Notamacropus eugenii: one gene and its partner. The protein of the gene in region 2 interacts with the protein of the main gene of each other region in a pairwise test. Links are inferred from orthologs where the notes say so. Each region holds a gene or a part of one and is shown on either strand. Other genes may lie near its edges.

Evidence for each region.
Region 1: the proteins of YWHAG (region 2) and FAM53C interact in binary tests that used the Homo sapiens proteins (3 or more experiments, as listed by UniProt). The link is inferred for Notamacropus eugenii from reciprocal best matches to the Homo sapiens genes YWHAG and FAM53C.

What each region holds. Positions count from the first base shown.
Region 1 is NC_092872.1:365,474,835-365,482,701, reverse strand, and holds the start of FAM53C (protein FAM53C), read right to left. Parts: upstream 3,039-7,867; 5' UTR 2,536-3,038; intron 1-2,535. Other genes in the region: oocyte-specific histone RNA stem-loop-binding protein 2-like, read right to left, coding at 3,907-4,101, 4,768-4,888, 5,132-5,305, 6,366-6,470, 6,584-6,679, 7,122-7,165.
Region 2 is NC_092873.1:51,333,246-51,341,049, forward strand, and holds the start of YWHAG (14-3-3 protein gamma), read right to left. Parts: upstream 3,087-7,804; 5' UTR 2,799-3,086; coding exon 2,712-2,798; intron 1-2,711. UniProt on the Homo sapiens protein: Adapter protein implicated in the regulation of a large spectrum of both general and specialized signaling pathways. Binds to a large number of partners, usually by recognition of a phosphoserine or phosphothreonine motif.

The sequences.
Region 1 (7,867 bases), on a different chromosome or scaffold from region 2:
CCTCAGTGGGGTGCCAATTGCTGAGGGGTCAGTCACACTATGTCCAAAGTTCAATTTTGCTCAGTCAGATAGTAAGTTTGAATGTTTTCTTTCAAGGACAATGAAACCAGTGGCCAAGAAACTTCACCTGTAGTTCTTGACGAGAGAAGTGTTCTTTTCTAATGTGCCTAAACCACAGAGAAGTAGGATAAAATGTGTGGTTCTTGCGGAACAGAATTTTGCCCTGCATTAAATCTGAATTACTAAGTTATTGTTTTCTTTGATAGAATGATCATGTTTGAGAAATGCCTCCTAAAAATTTTGAATGAAAACCTAAAAAACTGGTGAGCAAAACAATTCCAATCCTACAGCTCTATATGACCTCATTCTACCAAATTTCAGGGTTGCTCTGGCTCCAAGGCTATCCTATATATACTGATAGTGAAGCAACTTCCTGATACGAGTCTGAAGGAACATGTATTTAACAGCAGGCTCCAAACCCACATCAGCTGTGGGACTTCTAGTGGACTGAAAAGATGTTAACTTACTCTGTCAATGGCTTCTGTTTATCCAATTTTAGGAATGACCTAGAGGGCAATATAATCCTTTGGAGTACATAACTTACTTTAATGGAAGAAGTTAAGGGCTACCGAGGTTTTAATACCAATTCCAACCTTACTGGCTATATGCTGTACAAATCTTGGGCAAATAACATCAGTTTCTCTGGGTCTCAGTTTCTTCATAATTAAAATGAGGGAGAAATAATAGTATACCGGTAATTAAGAGATAAAAGCAATTTGAGCTCTGTGAAACAACACACTCCATAAATCCAAGGAATCATTTCAGAGGAGTCCAGCAGGGTATCATCTCTCACTCTTCCTGTTCAATGCACCACAAAGCCTAGGGATGCTGGGAGTGATGACATCATTAGGATGCAGAAGGCAATCTGTTCTACCTTTCTGGCTGGACACCATTCACTCATTCATTCACTTGTGCCTGTGTACTCACATAAGTCTAAAAGGGCACTGTTTGTATATGACAAGTTCTGCTTTGTATGCGACTTTTTCCCTTCTGTAAAATGGGGAGAATATTCCTTAATCCATACCCATCTCATGGAAAGATAAGTTTCCTGAGACACTGGGAAAGTTCTCTATGCTCTTCAAAAAGAATAAAAAATAAAAAGCATTACAGAAATCCTATACACTGAGATTTCTCCTCAGCTGCTTCCCCTATATAGGCCCTTGTTACAGAAGATAAAACTCAAGCTACGTTATACTAAATGCTCTTGGTTTCTTAAAGCTGCCTTTTTGGAGATCCATCAATGGAAAAGGGTACCTAGTTGCATTCAGATACTAGGGACAGCCTTTGGAGGGTGAGGTAAACTCATTTTCAGGCTCTCAAGATTTGGGCCATAGGAAACTCCTAGTTTTTTTTCTCTCTAGAATCAAGAGGATGAAGAGGATAATTTCATATTTTCTGCATTTTAATTGCTGGGATGTGGTCATACACAAGTCATTGCAACAAGCCAACTACTACCTATCACATTAACTGACATTTTGGGCTCTACGTTTCTTAAAACAGAGTGGGGGGGGGGGGGAGGGAACCTGAAACAATTGAACCAAGATATAAAAAAGGCAACCTAGCTTGGAGAGGGCCAAACCTAAAGCATTAGAAGGCTTAGTCTTGGCTCCTTCATTACCTTATCTTCTAACTGCAGAATAAAGAAAGTCCTGAACCCACACTAAACAAGTTAAAACTTCTCAGCCTAATAACCGCCAAGGATCGAAGCCCTTTTGGGAGGAGGCATCTGGCTTGGCCTCTTAGGTACCCAGAAGACCCAACCCTCTTCCCCAATGGGGCACTGACATTTCCCCACTCCCCAAAGATCTAAGTGATCACTGATACTTGGGTCTCAGAAACAGAGTCAGAGCTGAAGAGCAGAAGTCTCCCTTGGGGGTAGATCTACTTAGTTCAATGGGACAGGCTGGCGGGAGATTTTCTGGGGACTCCAGGCCTTCTCCCTCCATCACAACGCCCCCACCCCCACCCCCAGCTTGGGGTTAGAGTATGAATAAAAACAACGGCGGGGGAGGGGTTCCTTTCTCCAAGGCCCTGGTGGTGCCTGGGGTGGGTGGGTGTGATGGATGCTGCCCACCCCTTCTCCACCCACAATTAAGACTACACACTACCCCCTCCATCCCTGGGTTGCCGCTACCTTAACCACGGGAGGGGCAAGAGGTGACCTATGACCCTGTGGGGGTGGGGGCGGATGACGTCAGAGGAGCCGCTACCCGCCCCCTAACGCCAGCCTTCTGGCCCAGGACCCGGGCCCGTAAAGGAGTTTGGGGGGGGGGGGGGGGGAAGATGTCTGGGGACACGGTGCTCTAGCGGCCCCCTCCCCCACCAGTCCTGGGCTCCCCGCAACGGGGCGGCCTGCAAAGCCAGGCCGTGAGGAGGGACTAGCTGGGAAAGGAAGGAGGAAGGGAGGGGCAGCTGAGGTCTCCGCCCCAGGGCCCAGCGCCACCTGCCCCCAGGGCCCGCCCGCCCGCTACGTACCGCAGCTCGGTCCCCTTCCCAGGGCCGCAGCCGGAGCAGCTCTGAGCTCGCCACTTGCCCCACGGCGCCCTTAAATAACGCCGGAGCGAACCAATCGTCCCCCTGCCAGAGAGGGGGGGGTAGCTTCCCCACTCCCAGGACTTGCCCCGAAGCCCCGTGCGAGGGCCAGAATTCCTGGGGTTTCCTCTCCCTCCCCCAAAAACTGCTGGTAATCAGTAGCGTCCGTGATGGAAAAGGTGCAACACTTGCTCCTCTCGATGTACCTCGCCTCAAAGGGGTCTTGCTCCCCACTAGGTTCCCCTACCGAATTGCGGAAGGTGGAAGGGACCGGCTCTAGGCTGAACTAACTTCGGGCCAGTGGGGAGAATAGACAGAGGTAAACAAACTCAGGCCCTCTCTCTACAGTTCCTGCTCCAGTCTGACTAAGACGCCTTCTCTGACCTTGACCTCTAGCAGAACAAGCCTCGCACCCCGGTGTTCGTTTTTCTATTTCTCCCTATACTGCCACTGCTTTGAAAAAAACCCCTCTTCCCTGCCACTGAGGACTCGTCTGCGACCCAGGGGCAGATGGGAGGTGTAGTCCAATGCTGGCCAGACTTGGGGCCTGCTTGAATAGGGTTCCAGAACAACGGGCAGCAGGAAAGGCTGAGGGGCAGGGGGGGCGAATTCCCGATCTGGATCCCAGGACCTTAGCCCCATCCCCAGCCCTTTCTTCTTTCTCCCGAAGTCGCGCCTGCACGTCCATTACTACACTCAGTGGGCCTGGGCCCCTTCTCTTCTTCCATCAACGCCCCCCATCCCCCGCCCTTCCAGTCACAGCAGGATGAGGTAATTGGATTGTGATTATGACATCATAATAAGCTCAGCTCTTTTCCTCCTCCCTCCCCCACCCCCAATGTATTCTAGAGGAAGCGCCCTCAGGACTCCTCTATCAAACCCCGCTTTTCATTCTTTGTGTAGAAGTGGTCAGACCCTCGCAAAGACCTTCTTTGTCCATAAAGCAGGAGTGGTCAGTGAGAGGAAAGGGCTATTCTTTCACCAAAGCCACAGGATTTCAGTCTGAAGTAACTGCACAAGTTACGAGTAAAACTCATCCCCCCCAAGAAAGACCTAGATGAAAGAGGCTAAAATAGAGGAAAACAGGGACAGAGACTTGAGAATGAATGCCAAGGGAAATAAATGAATCCACAGTCATGCCATCAGAGAGGCAAAGGGGTAGAGAAGTGATTTTAACCCAAATTTGAGCCAGTGGAGAAGGGCTTTCTTATTGCAGGCTGGCAAGTTTGTAAAACAGGGAAGGAACAGGAAAGAAGAAAAAAAAGAGTAAGGCAGGACACTAAGCTAAATAGGGGGCATTTTCTTCATCAAGGGTCAATGAGGGTCTTGCCCCAGAAAGCTGGGCAGCCTCCCTGCCCAATTTCCTAAAGGCCTTGTCTTCTCAGCACACTCCACATGCCCCAACACTGAAAGTGGTAGGTGGCTTCCATCTCCCAAGCAGTATAGCCAGTGACAGGGAGCTTCCAGCTGGAGACAGGGAAGTGAGGTGATAAGAGCCAAGATGTCAAACTGAAAAGAGAGAGGGGAAAGGGCCCATTTTCAAGAGGTAGGTAGACAATAGCTATCTATCCTCCCTGTTTTTCTCAGAGGTAGCTTAGCTTGGAGGGAATAGTACTCATTAGGATCTTCATTATGCCCCTTTTCCCCACTCCTAGAGAATAACCGCAAACATTTTACAACAGAAAGTAAAACCCTGGTAAGGATCAGACTGTGAAGTATTAAACAGACAATTCTTCCTAAAGTTTAAGGTAGTACGCTTGTAGATAATGTAACTTTATGGGGCAGAGGCTAAAATTAGGGCTCTGAGATACTTGCTTTCTCCCACCACACTTGTTTAATTTCCATATTTAAGCTTTCTGATCAATATATCATTGACTTGTTTGCATAAAAAGAAAACTCTACTCGTTCCAATTCCCAGTTAACTATCCCAACCCCAGTTTATCTAGTATGTATACACCTGTTTTGAACTCAGCCTTAATTCAGCCATTATGAAGTAATATTTTATTTATTATAAATTATTATATAAAATTATCATATATTATTAATTATTATATGTAATATGTAATACACAACATGTATTATAAATTATTATAAATAAAATGATTTATTTGTTCATTATGAAATATACCCACACCCTGAAAGACAACTCTTTTGATACTGTTCCTATGAACCTACCTGGGTTCTCATTTGGTCTTGATTTAGATTCCACAGGGGAGTCAGAACACTGAGCCAGCCTTTCAAGAAGTCATCTGAAGATCCTGAATCCATGCTCCCTGAAATATTCTCCACTCCCTGCCTAGCAAAGGTATATTTATTTAGGAGAAGAAACAAAGGCAGAATGAACCAGGACCAATGCAGACCCATTTTTTATATAGGTAGCTGTTCTCAGAACTGGGAGCAAGAAAAAGGTTTAGATTAGTCTAGGGTTCAGGTATCATTACAATGACTCCATTAAGAAACTTTGGCCCTTGTCCTTTCTCTTATACCCTAGCTTTTGTCAAAGGAAGAGAAGGTTTAGAACTCAAATCCCACAACTCACTGTAGCCAGGTACAAGAACACATATCATTCTCTTTGAACAGCAAAGGCTGACTGGGAGGATCCCAAGCATGTAGGGCTCGTCGCCATTGCCTGATCTGGGCATCCCAGGAACGTCGGCTGTACCTTCGGCTTTTGTCAGGTGTTTGAGGGTGAAGTCCTGACTGCCGTGTTGCCCTAGAGATAAAATGAACATCTTAAATTATGGTCAAAGACACCTATAAATAGATGGAAGAGGCTTAGTGCTCCTGTGTTATTGGCATGACTGAGAATCAGCCTAGTTGAAGAAAGAATTCTTCAGCATTGTTGGACATAGTTCATTAATTGTTTGCAGGTATCAGAGACTAACTTTAGAACAATGTTCATAGGCTCACAGATTTAAAGCTGAAAGGTACACCTCAGAGACTGCTTAGACCAAATCCCTCATTTTATAGCTGATAAAACTGAGACTGAGCTTTGGAACTTTGCAGTAGCTATATCCCATCCCTAGAATGCACTCCTACCTCACCACTACCTCACAGAATCCTTAATTTCCTTCAAAGCAAAGGTCAAAGTCCACCTTTTACATGAAGTTTTTATGCCCTTCAGCTCCCCCCGCTAAAAAAAAAAATTACCTTGTATACTTTTGTGTACAGGTTGTCTTCAGAACATAAGGGCCTTGACGGAAGGTACTATTTCATTTCTACCTAACATATAGTAGACACTTAATAAATACTTGCATATTAAATGACTTGTACACAAGACCACATGAGTTACAGTAAATAAGGCTAGAATTTGAGCTCAGGTCCTCTGACTCAAAATTCCCCACTCTTTCTATTATACCATGCTACTTGCAAAGTTGAACCCCTCTAAAATGCCTTCCCTTACTGACGAATAACAGTGTACTGACTCATGTTCAAAGTCTAAGAGAAGAGACAGAATAAGTCCAGGAAAGTTTAGCCTAATATTTTTAAATAGAAGATTCTATTTATAAAGATGCAGAAAGGCAAGTGATGAGAAGGTTTAGGAAGACAAGGTAGCCATTAACAAGATCAGAACAAGTATTATAGACCATGTAGAATGCTTAAAGATGTTTAGAAAATAGCAAGATTAATTGATAGGCTTCCTAATTTTTCTTAAGGCATTCTAATATGAATATCAAGGTGACTTGGTATTAATTGATAACAATTGATGGTAAAAGATATTTTCAGTTCTTCAAAGGATAAATGTTGTCCATCCCCAAACCCTCTGCTCTTACTTAGGGACTTGCTGTGAGAAGCACTGGTAACCAGCTGTTCGTTTCCCATAGTCTATCTGCTTTTGTCTCCTTCGAAGAACAATCTCATCTGTTTCTACATCCTGCCTGTGGAGAAATAAATGTCCTATCAATAAATAGCTATGAAAAACATAAAATGTTCTTAAACATCTCTTTACACTGCGGCCATCTCACTCCATCTGCCAGACTCCATAACTCACCTGCACCTTCTGCAGCTGTTCTCTGTGCTGACTCCCACACTCACCATCTTCACTCCAGAGGAAGAATTCCCAAGCCCAAGCATGTTCTTATCGGTTCTATAAGTAAAGAAGGTATCAGAATGACTAGGTGATTGCTGTGCTTTTTCCAAAGAAACACATCCTTCATCTGGATCCTGGACAGCCAGATTGAATTAGTGTCCACATCTCTAAAACACCCTCCACAATCCTCAGAGCTTCAATAAATAGCAAACGAACTTACATTGGACTTTTATTAAGCACCTACTGTTTGCAGGTCCTGGGGGAGATCGAGCTCAGATAAGACACACTCTCTTCCTTTCAGGATGTTTTTTTTAACTACAGTCTGGTAGGACAGAGGTAGTCAGTCATTCACGATACCATACGTGCTTAGAGCACGGAAAGGTGCAAAAAGGAGAGGTCAGGCTACAATAGTTGAAACTGGACAGCAGCAGGAAAAGCCCTTCGTTCCCCTACTCCTTTCCAAGGAAGGAATGGAGAACCTGCACACCCCAATACACACCTCTCTCTCCTCAATTCCAGAGTTTCTAAAGGCAGATTCTCCATTTCATCGCATCACCTCTCAGAGCACTAAGGTGAGGAGTCGGTGCATTAGCTAAGGCGAAAAGGAAGGTAGGGGGAATAAAACAGCCCAGAAACCCTCACCTGCACTCACCAGGTTTTTCAAATTCACCATTCAAAAGAAATAAGCTGGTGAGGGCGGGGCGAGAGGGAGCGAAGGGAGGGGGTGAGGGGGGTGGAGATTTAAATCTCCCGGGTGGAAGGCGTGGGAAGGGCGAGGTCCGGGCGGACGGGATGAATGGCCAAAGCATGAGCCAATCATGTATCCGATTTTCCCCGGAAGGCGGAGTTTAGCTCGGGTTTCGCCGTAACCTCGTAGCCAATCCGCCGCCGACTCGCGCTTGCTCGGAAGATTCGCCCAATCCCGAGTCCCGCCCATCTCTTTGAGTTTGGGTCCTGCCTAGCAGCAGGTGACGCCACAGCGAGCGGGTCTACAGACTAGATTAGATTGGCTGAGGCGCGCGTGGTGGGGCGGGGAGGGAGGGTGGGATTCGCTGGGAAGACTCACGGCCATTGGTCAGGAGGCGTCTGGGGGTGGGACTTCTAGGAGGTGCTCGGCGATTGGCCGGGAGGCTCCTCGCGCAGCTCTGGGGGCAGGCGGAAGGTTTGAACTTTCTAGGTGTGGCGAGCTGTTGGGCTGCGTCCTGACTTATAGCTCCCGGTCCTACCCTGGAGGTCCCGGGGAGT
Region 2 (7,804 bases):
GATAGCTAACATTTATAGAGCGCTTACATGCCAAGCACTGTGTTACCAAGTTTTTGCAATTCTCTCATTTGATTTTTGTGCCAACTTTGGAAGGTAGGTGCTATTTTCATCCTCATGTTACAAATGAGGAAACTGAGGCAAGAGGTTAAGCGACTTACACGGGGAATCATGGCATTTCCTAGTTTCCTTTAGTCCTAGAAGTTCCATGTTTCCCTCCCCCATTCTAAAGTGTGCTGACAAGTTCCCTGTTTGCTAACTGTAAGTTTACATAGCCACCATTTGTGTCTAAGATGGAATTTGAACTCGGGTTCTAGCCCTGGCTCTCTACCCACTGAGCCATCAAGCTGCCACACTCCTCTAAGGAGGTGAGATTTGAACCCTGGTCTTCCTAAGGCCCTTTCGAGGCTGCTGCTGAATCTACTATATACCTTGTGAATACTTTTCATAAAAACACTCCCCTTAATTCAAGTCCAAATCCTGTGATTTGATTAATGAGCTCTACGACTAGGCCAAAGTACAGGTAATAAACTCACCTATTTGTTCAAGAAAGTTCATTTTTAGGAGAACTTTAAGTTTTTGTTTAAAGCTGAATCCAAGTGTAGTGTAAACATACCAAGAAATTCAAATATTAGCTGCTTACCAATTGTTCTTTGTGTTCCACTGTTTGTCATCCTACAGAATGGCTAGATGTGACATTAAAGATAGAAAGATGATCAGCCCCAATGTACATCTGGAGGTCACTGATTAGTATGTCTAAAGGCAAAGTGATATGGTAAAAATATTCCGGACAGTGGAACAACCCTTCATCCTATCACAAATATCATTTTCTCCAGCAGGGTATATACAATAAAATTTTCAGTCCCACTCGGCTCTTGTATTATATCACATTTCTGCATTACCTTGGCCATGGGCCATTCGAACACTCCCTACCACCCGGGCGCATTGCAGCCTCGGTGCCATTATGTGTGACATCACCATGTTGCTAAGGCAATGAGTGCGAGGTCATAAGCTTTCCTGAAAAACTGCAAATGAGGAAGAATTAGAAGATTCGGAAGACAGCAGTCAAGACAAATCCATTTAAGATCAAGGCCTGTTAAAATGCCCAGGCTAATATACTGCAAAAAGAAGAAACTGAGGTTTGAATGAAAGGTTAAAAGCTATCAATGGTACCGATATTATGTTGAAATACAGGCTAGATAGAGCATCTACCCTCAATTGTAATATAATTCTAGCAGGGAGCTCCTACCCTCCTAATACTCTTTTTAAATGTCTAAACATAAAACGTTTCAGCATGGCCTACTTTAATGATCCAGTTCAACTTACATAGGTGTGACTGAAATCATGATAATACATGGGATCTTCCAATTAAGGAGGATTTATCCTATATACTTGGCTTATTCAGTCATCCAGTTTTTAATTGGTGTATTTTTAATACCTTAGTTATATAACTGTATACCTTTGTTATCTATTTGTCAAGGATACCTGAAAAGAGCCTGCCAAATATTAGAACGGAGGCACTCAAGTCATCCATCAGATCCTGCCATTTCCAGGGTTCCTTTGGTCCCGTTCCAACCCTGCCTCCCTCCCTCCCCCGTTCTCGAGCATGCTGACATGTTGCCCCTCTGATAAATGTAAGGTTACTGAAAAAATGCTGCAATAGAGGCAGACATCTGTGCACCAGACAGGCTGCGACATTTCAAGATCAGCATTTCCTTTTCATCAGCAGGAGGGGACACTCCAGCCTTTTCTTTATTAAAAGGAGAAAAAAAGAGCTCAGACCTGTGTCACGAAACAAATAAAAAAACATTTTCCCCCTTTAAAGCAACCCCTCCCTCCCTCCACCCAGTCTAGCCTCTCTGCAATATGACAAATGCAGAATCTTCTGGAATGACTTGATACTGCCTCCCACGATCGCTTTGTTTGCAAGATCAGATCAGAGAGATGATTTTTTTTTAACTTATAAGGATTTCAATAGATGTATGCCTGCATTTAGAAAAGAAACAGCAAATGTCACAAATTGAACCACTAGGCTTGATGCATAACCTTTATTTTAAGGGGAAATACCGCATGTTTCAATTGACAAGTCTGAGAGGGAAAAAAAAACGGAGATACGTTCGAGACAATGAAAAGAAAATGATAAAACGGTAAAATACTCCCCCCCCAGCCCCCATCCCTCCTCCCCGAAGGCAGGAAGAAGGAAGGGGAAGGAGGTGGGGGCATTTTTAAAGAAGAAACTGAGCAAATAAGAGCCACGCACGGCGATCTCGGAAGGACTGGGTTTTTTTTTAACTGACCCAGGGATTTTTCTGCCCCCCACCCCGACTCCCCCTTCCTGAATTCCTCCGGGGTGGGGGGAGGGGAGGGAGGGGTGGGGGGAGCAGAAAGGAGAAAGCAGGCGCAGGCTGGCGAGTGAATGGGAGAGGCGCCGCCCAGACAGACAGAGAAAGAGGAACCTCCAAAGAGCGACCGCATGGACGCGGCGCCCCCCCCAGCCCCACCCCACCTACTCCCAACGCCCCCCACACTGCAGGGAGGGCACAAAGGGTGACCCCCCCCCCATCTGGCAGCCCAGCAGTGTAAAGGATGGGGATGGAGGCCTCACGCCAGCCATCCGCCCTGTCGCGACACGAGGCCGGGGGGGGGGGGGGCCTATCGCGACAAGGCTCTCGGGCCGCCCGGGCACTGTCGCGACAGAGGGAGGGGGCACTCACGTTCTTCATGGCCGCGGCCATATCGTCGTAGCGCTCCGCCTGCTCGGCCAGCCGGGCTTTCTGCACCAGTTGCTCGCGGTCCACCATCTTCGCGGGGCGGCTCGGGCCGGCTCCTGCGGGGCTGCGGGGCTGCGGGCGGCGGCGGGGAAGGCGCGCGCGGCAGAGGCGGCGGCGACGGCTCAAGCCCGGGCGGCAGGCCGACCAATCACGTCCGCGGGACGGCGGCGGCAGAGGCTGCTCGGGCTCCGGCTCCTGCTGCTGCTGCTGCTCCTGCTGCTGCTGCTCCTCCTGCTGCTGCTGCTGCTGAGGCTCGTGCTGCAAAGGAGGAACCCGGCGCGAGGCGGCTGCGGCTGCTGCGCGTGCCGCGGGAGAACAACCCCCTCCGGCCACGCCCACGGTCCTGACGTCAGCTCGAGGCCCCGCCCCACGACCCCCTTCCCCCCTCCGCCTCCTCGGCCCTCTCCTCGTCCTCTCCCGTCACCGCCTCGTCGCGAGGACCCCTGGGACGTGTAGTTCTGTCCACGGGGAGCGAGATCCTCTGATAACGTCTGGGCTGACGAAGGGAAGACTACACTTCCCAGGAGGCTTTGCGCGGAAATCCCTCGGTCTTTGAAGGAGGGGAGAGGCCGAGGAGAGTGGGGCTTTTAGCAGCAGGGCACTTACACAAGGAGGGAGGGACTTGGGGGAGAGAGCCTGAGCCACAGGGGGCGGGGGTGGGGGTGGGAGCGCCACCTTGGGCGCGCCCCTCTCCCCGGGTTGTACTCGCAACCATGGAGGAGTGGGGGAGGGAGGGCGCGGCGTGCCATGCGTCACCCAGACGGAATGCTGATTCACTGCCTCCGGAGGCTCCGCCCTCTCCTTCTCTGCCCAGCCCCGCCCTTCCCCCCTTCCCAGCCCAGCCCGGCCCGGGCCTGCGCACCTCCCTCCCTTCCTCCTCCCAATCCTGTTCTCTAGGGATGTTGACCCTGGTTGAATGGGGGGTGGGGGTGGGCGCTCTTTTCCTTGTCACCCTCCTGCTCAGTAAGCTCCAGTGGCTCCCTACTACCCCTGGGATCAAATCCAATATCTTCTGCTGGCCTGTAAAAACCCCCCACAACCTGGGACCGAACTTCCTTAACTGCCCCCCTCCTCTTGTTCCCCTCCCCCTCCGATCCCCAGGCCCTTCGGGGCTCAGCCCAAGAACCGTCCACCCTCCTGGATCGGTGTCCTCCCACTTAGCTATTATGGTGATCCCCGGGAGAGTGAGTGGAAGGCCCCTGAGGGCAGGCACTGGGATCCCCAGTAGGACCCTGGACAACCCAGACCCCTAGTCCCTTCTCTCCGTCCCCTGCACCTGGAGCCTGGGATGTTCCTCCACCCCATCCCGGTGTCCTGGACTCTCGCGAGTCCTTCCTTCAGCACCCAGCTCATCACCCCCTTCCACCTGCCTCCAGTGAGATTAAATCCAGTTTAACCTGGCTGGGACCAAGTGAGACCAAATGAGATCTTTCTATTATCTATAGAGATACAATCTACAGATGCAGATAGCCTTACATATCTATAGATATGCAATCTGCAGATAGAGATGCCTTCATTGTGTGTTGTTTGCAAGATAGATATATGAAATATCTAACGGCCTTGATAGACATAGGTGTGTATCTAGATAGATACAAGATAGATATATCCAGATATGGACAGATCTCAATAGACATATATCCTAATAAATACGGACCAATATTAGATAGATCGATGGATCGATCTGGCTACCATTTTTACATTGAGCTACTATATAAAGTTCCATACATTTCACCTGGAAACAATATTCTCATGTCCCTCCTAGCCCTTCCAGTTCCAGTAGCTGACCATTACTAAGGAAGATTTTCGGTTTTTCCTATACAGTGTGGCCAGCACACAGTTGCTTGCCTGCTGTCTCCTCCTGTCCCTCCTGGAAAGCCTGAGTTTTTGCCTTTCTTTATATTTATTGTGCTTAGCACAGCGCCTGGTACATAGTAAAATGCTTAATGTATATTTTACCAATTTGTTGCTTGTGGTGCCTAATAAATGCTTGTTGAATTGGATTGAAATGGCCTGAACAGAATAAAATGCTAAGGTCCATCCCTACTCCTCAACAAAGCTGTCCATGAACATTCTAACACTTTCCTCCATTAAGGACATAGTCTGGTTTTGGTTGGGTACACAATGCACAGAGAGTCACAAAGAACTGAGTACAAGTCCTGACTCTAACACAGGCTATGTCACCCTGGGCAAGTCATTTGATTTCTAAGGGCTGCAGACAACTCTCTAAATTTAGAGGTTGCAGAGAAGGTTCTGGCTTTCATTGACAGAGTTTCCTCACTATAGATTTTAATGAAATCAGAAGTCCAGTGCCTGTCTTCTGGAATGAATCAACATTTCTCTCCATCACAGGTCATGGACTCTGGCCTCATGGTCATTTGGAAAGAGTCCTGGACATAGAGTATGGAGATTCCTGCTCTTGATTGATATCTGTCACTGTGTGACCCGGGGTGAATCACTTATGCTTTGGGGGCCTGGCTTTCTCCCACTACAAAATGAAGGTCGCGTCCAGCTGGAACAATCGATAGGATGGTGATCTCATGCCCAGGGAGAGCATCTAGCTAACAACCTGGCTCTCAGTAGGAAGGAAGGAGGGGCCTGGATGACAGGGCCACAGAGGGCTGCTCCTCACTTCTCTCTACCTTGGTATAAATGGGAAGTGAACTGTGATTCATCAACAAAATGAAACTACTTGAGGCAAAAAGGAAACAGGCATGACCAACTGCCCTACATTGCAACTTTCCTAAGAGAACAGTAAAAACTGTGTGCATGACTCTTAAGCCCTCAGTATTCCAATCCTTATGTAGTCCTCCTGGGACTTTATGGGCCTCCTGGGAATTCAAATGAGGGTACACACACACACACACACACACACACACACACACACACACACACACACACACGACCAAACTATCCACAAGACCAAACTATCACACAGTCCTGAAGAGGACCAGGAGGCCTGTTTCTAAGACCTCAGTTCAATGAATAATGTTAACACACGTTTACTAATGTCTACCGTATAGGGCTACAGAAAAAAACCAATTAATCCCTCTCTTTAAGGAGCTTGCATTTCCCTGGAAGAATACATAATAGAGTCATAGATTTAGAGCGGGAAGGGACCTTAGAGGTTATGAAGCCCAACCCCCTAGTTTTCTAGAGGAGGAAAAGTAGATAAGTAAATGCTCTAGGGTTTGGAGTTCCCTGGTCTTTTTTTCAACTCCAAACCCCTTCTGTTCATGTAGATGATTAAGGATAGAGGTCTGGTGAGGAAGGAACATCCAGAAAACAGTTTAGCTGGGTGAAAGGTTTCTCCTACCTCCCCAGCTAGGTCAAGTCTACAAACATTTATGAACCACCTACTGTGGGCCAAGACCTGTGCTAAGTAGTGGGAATATTTTTTTAAAAATTTAAAAAGACAAAAACCAGTCCTGCTCTTAGTTCAAACTTACTGCAATATTAAACATATTCAAAGAAATACACAGAAAATTCCAGGCAGGCCTTTTTAGCCTAAAAAGTATATGCCCTTGTTCTGCCATCTTGTGTTTGCTTATTTCTATCTGGCTGTCCAAAGGTTTCTGGGCCTGGCTACCATGTTTACATTGGGCTACTACTATATAAAGTTCCATACATTTCACCTGGAAACAATATTCTCATGTCCCTCCTAGTCCTTCCAGTTCCAGTAGCTGACCATTACTAAGGCAGGTTTCCGGTTTTTCCTATCCAGTGTGGCTAGCACACACACATTTCCTGAGGAGGAAGAGGAAGAAGTCCCGCCTGATTATAAGCTGTTTGAGGACAGGGACTTTGTCTCATTCATCTTTTTTTTTCTTTTCAGGGCTAGAAATAGAATGTGGCACCCTGACTCAAGAAGCTTCAGGGCATCCCCATTGTGTTTAAGATGAAATTAAAATTCCTTCTTTGTCACTCTAGCCTGATGATAGCTTGGGTCCAACCTATCTTTCTAGGCTGATTATGTTTTAGTCACTTTCAGTTGAGAAAATTCTTCATGAAGCCGTTTGGGGTTTTCTTGGCAAAGATACTGGAGTGGTTTGCCGTTTCCTTCTCCAGTTCATTTGACAGGTGAGGAAACTGAGACAAACAGGGTGAAGTGACTTGCCCAGGGTCACTCAGCTAATAAGTATCTGAGGTCAAATTTGAACTCAGGTCTTCCTGACTCCAGACCTGGTGCTCTCTCCACTGAACCACTTAGAGACCCTTGATCCCACTTTATTCCCCCTCATGGGTTACATTTTAGCCAAACCAGACAACTTGCTGTTCTCTGTTCACAGCATCCCATCTTCTGCCTTCAGAGTTCATGTAACAGGGATTTCACAGAATATTCAGGGATTCCTGGACTGTTTATGGCCAATCACATGGGGCCAGAAGCAACTAGGTGATAAAGTAATTAGGGACGTGCAGTCAAGAAGACTAGAATTCAAATCCTTCCTCAGACACTTACTGGTTGTGTGACCCTGGGCAAATCACTTAACCTTATTCCTCACTTTCCTTGTCTGTGAGATGATGATGATGATGGTGGTGGTGGTGGTGGTGGTGATAAGACCACCTTACAGGGTTGTTTTGAGGATCAAATGATTTAACATATTAAAGCACTTTGCAGATCCTTAAAATGCCATATAAATACCAGCCGTTATTATTATTGATATGATTATGTATGTGTGACTCAGCAGTGAAAGAATTTGGCACTTTAACATCTCATATCAAATCTTCAGAGGTCCCTTGGTCCTTCCCCTACCTTTGACAACAGAATGGGCATGGATGGTTGTGTCAATTAAAAACTAACTCCCATATGGCAAATAGGTCTGTAGCTAGGTTTCCTGTAAGGAGGTAGGAGGATAGGAGGTCTCTTCCTCCACCCCCAAACCTTTGACCATTCCCACATTGGAGCATGGTACCAAATAGAAAAGCTTCTACCTGAACCTCTGACTGCCTTTCCTGCTTTGGATTTCCTTTCTTAAGTACATGATCAAACATTATTCTCTCTCTCTCTCTCTCTCTCTCTCTCTCTCTCTCTCTCTCTC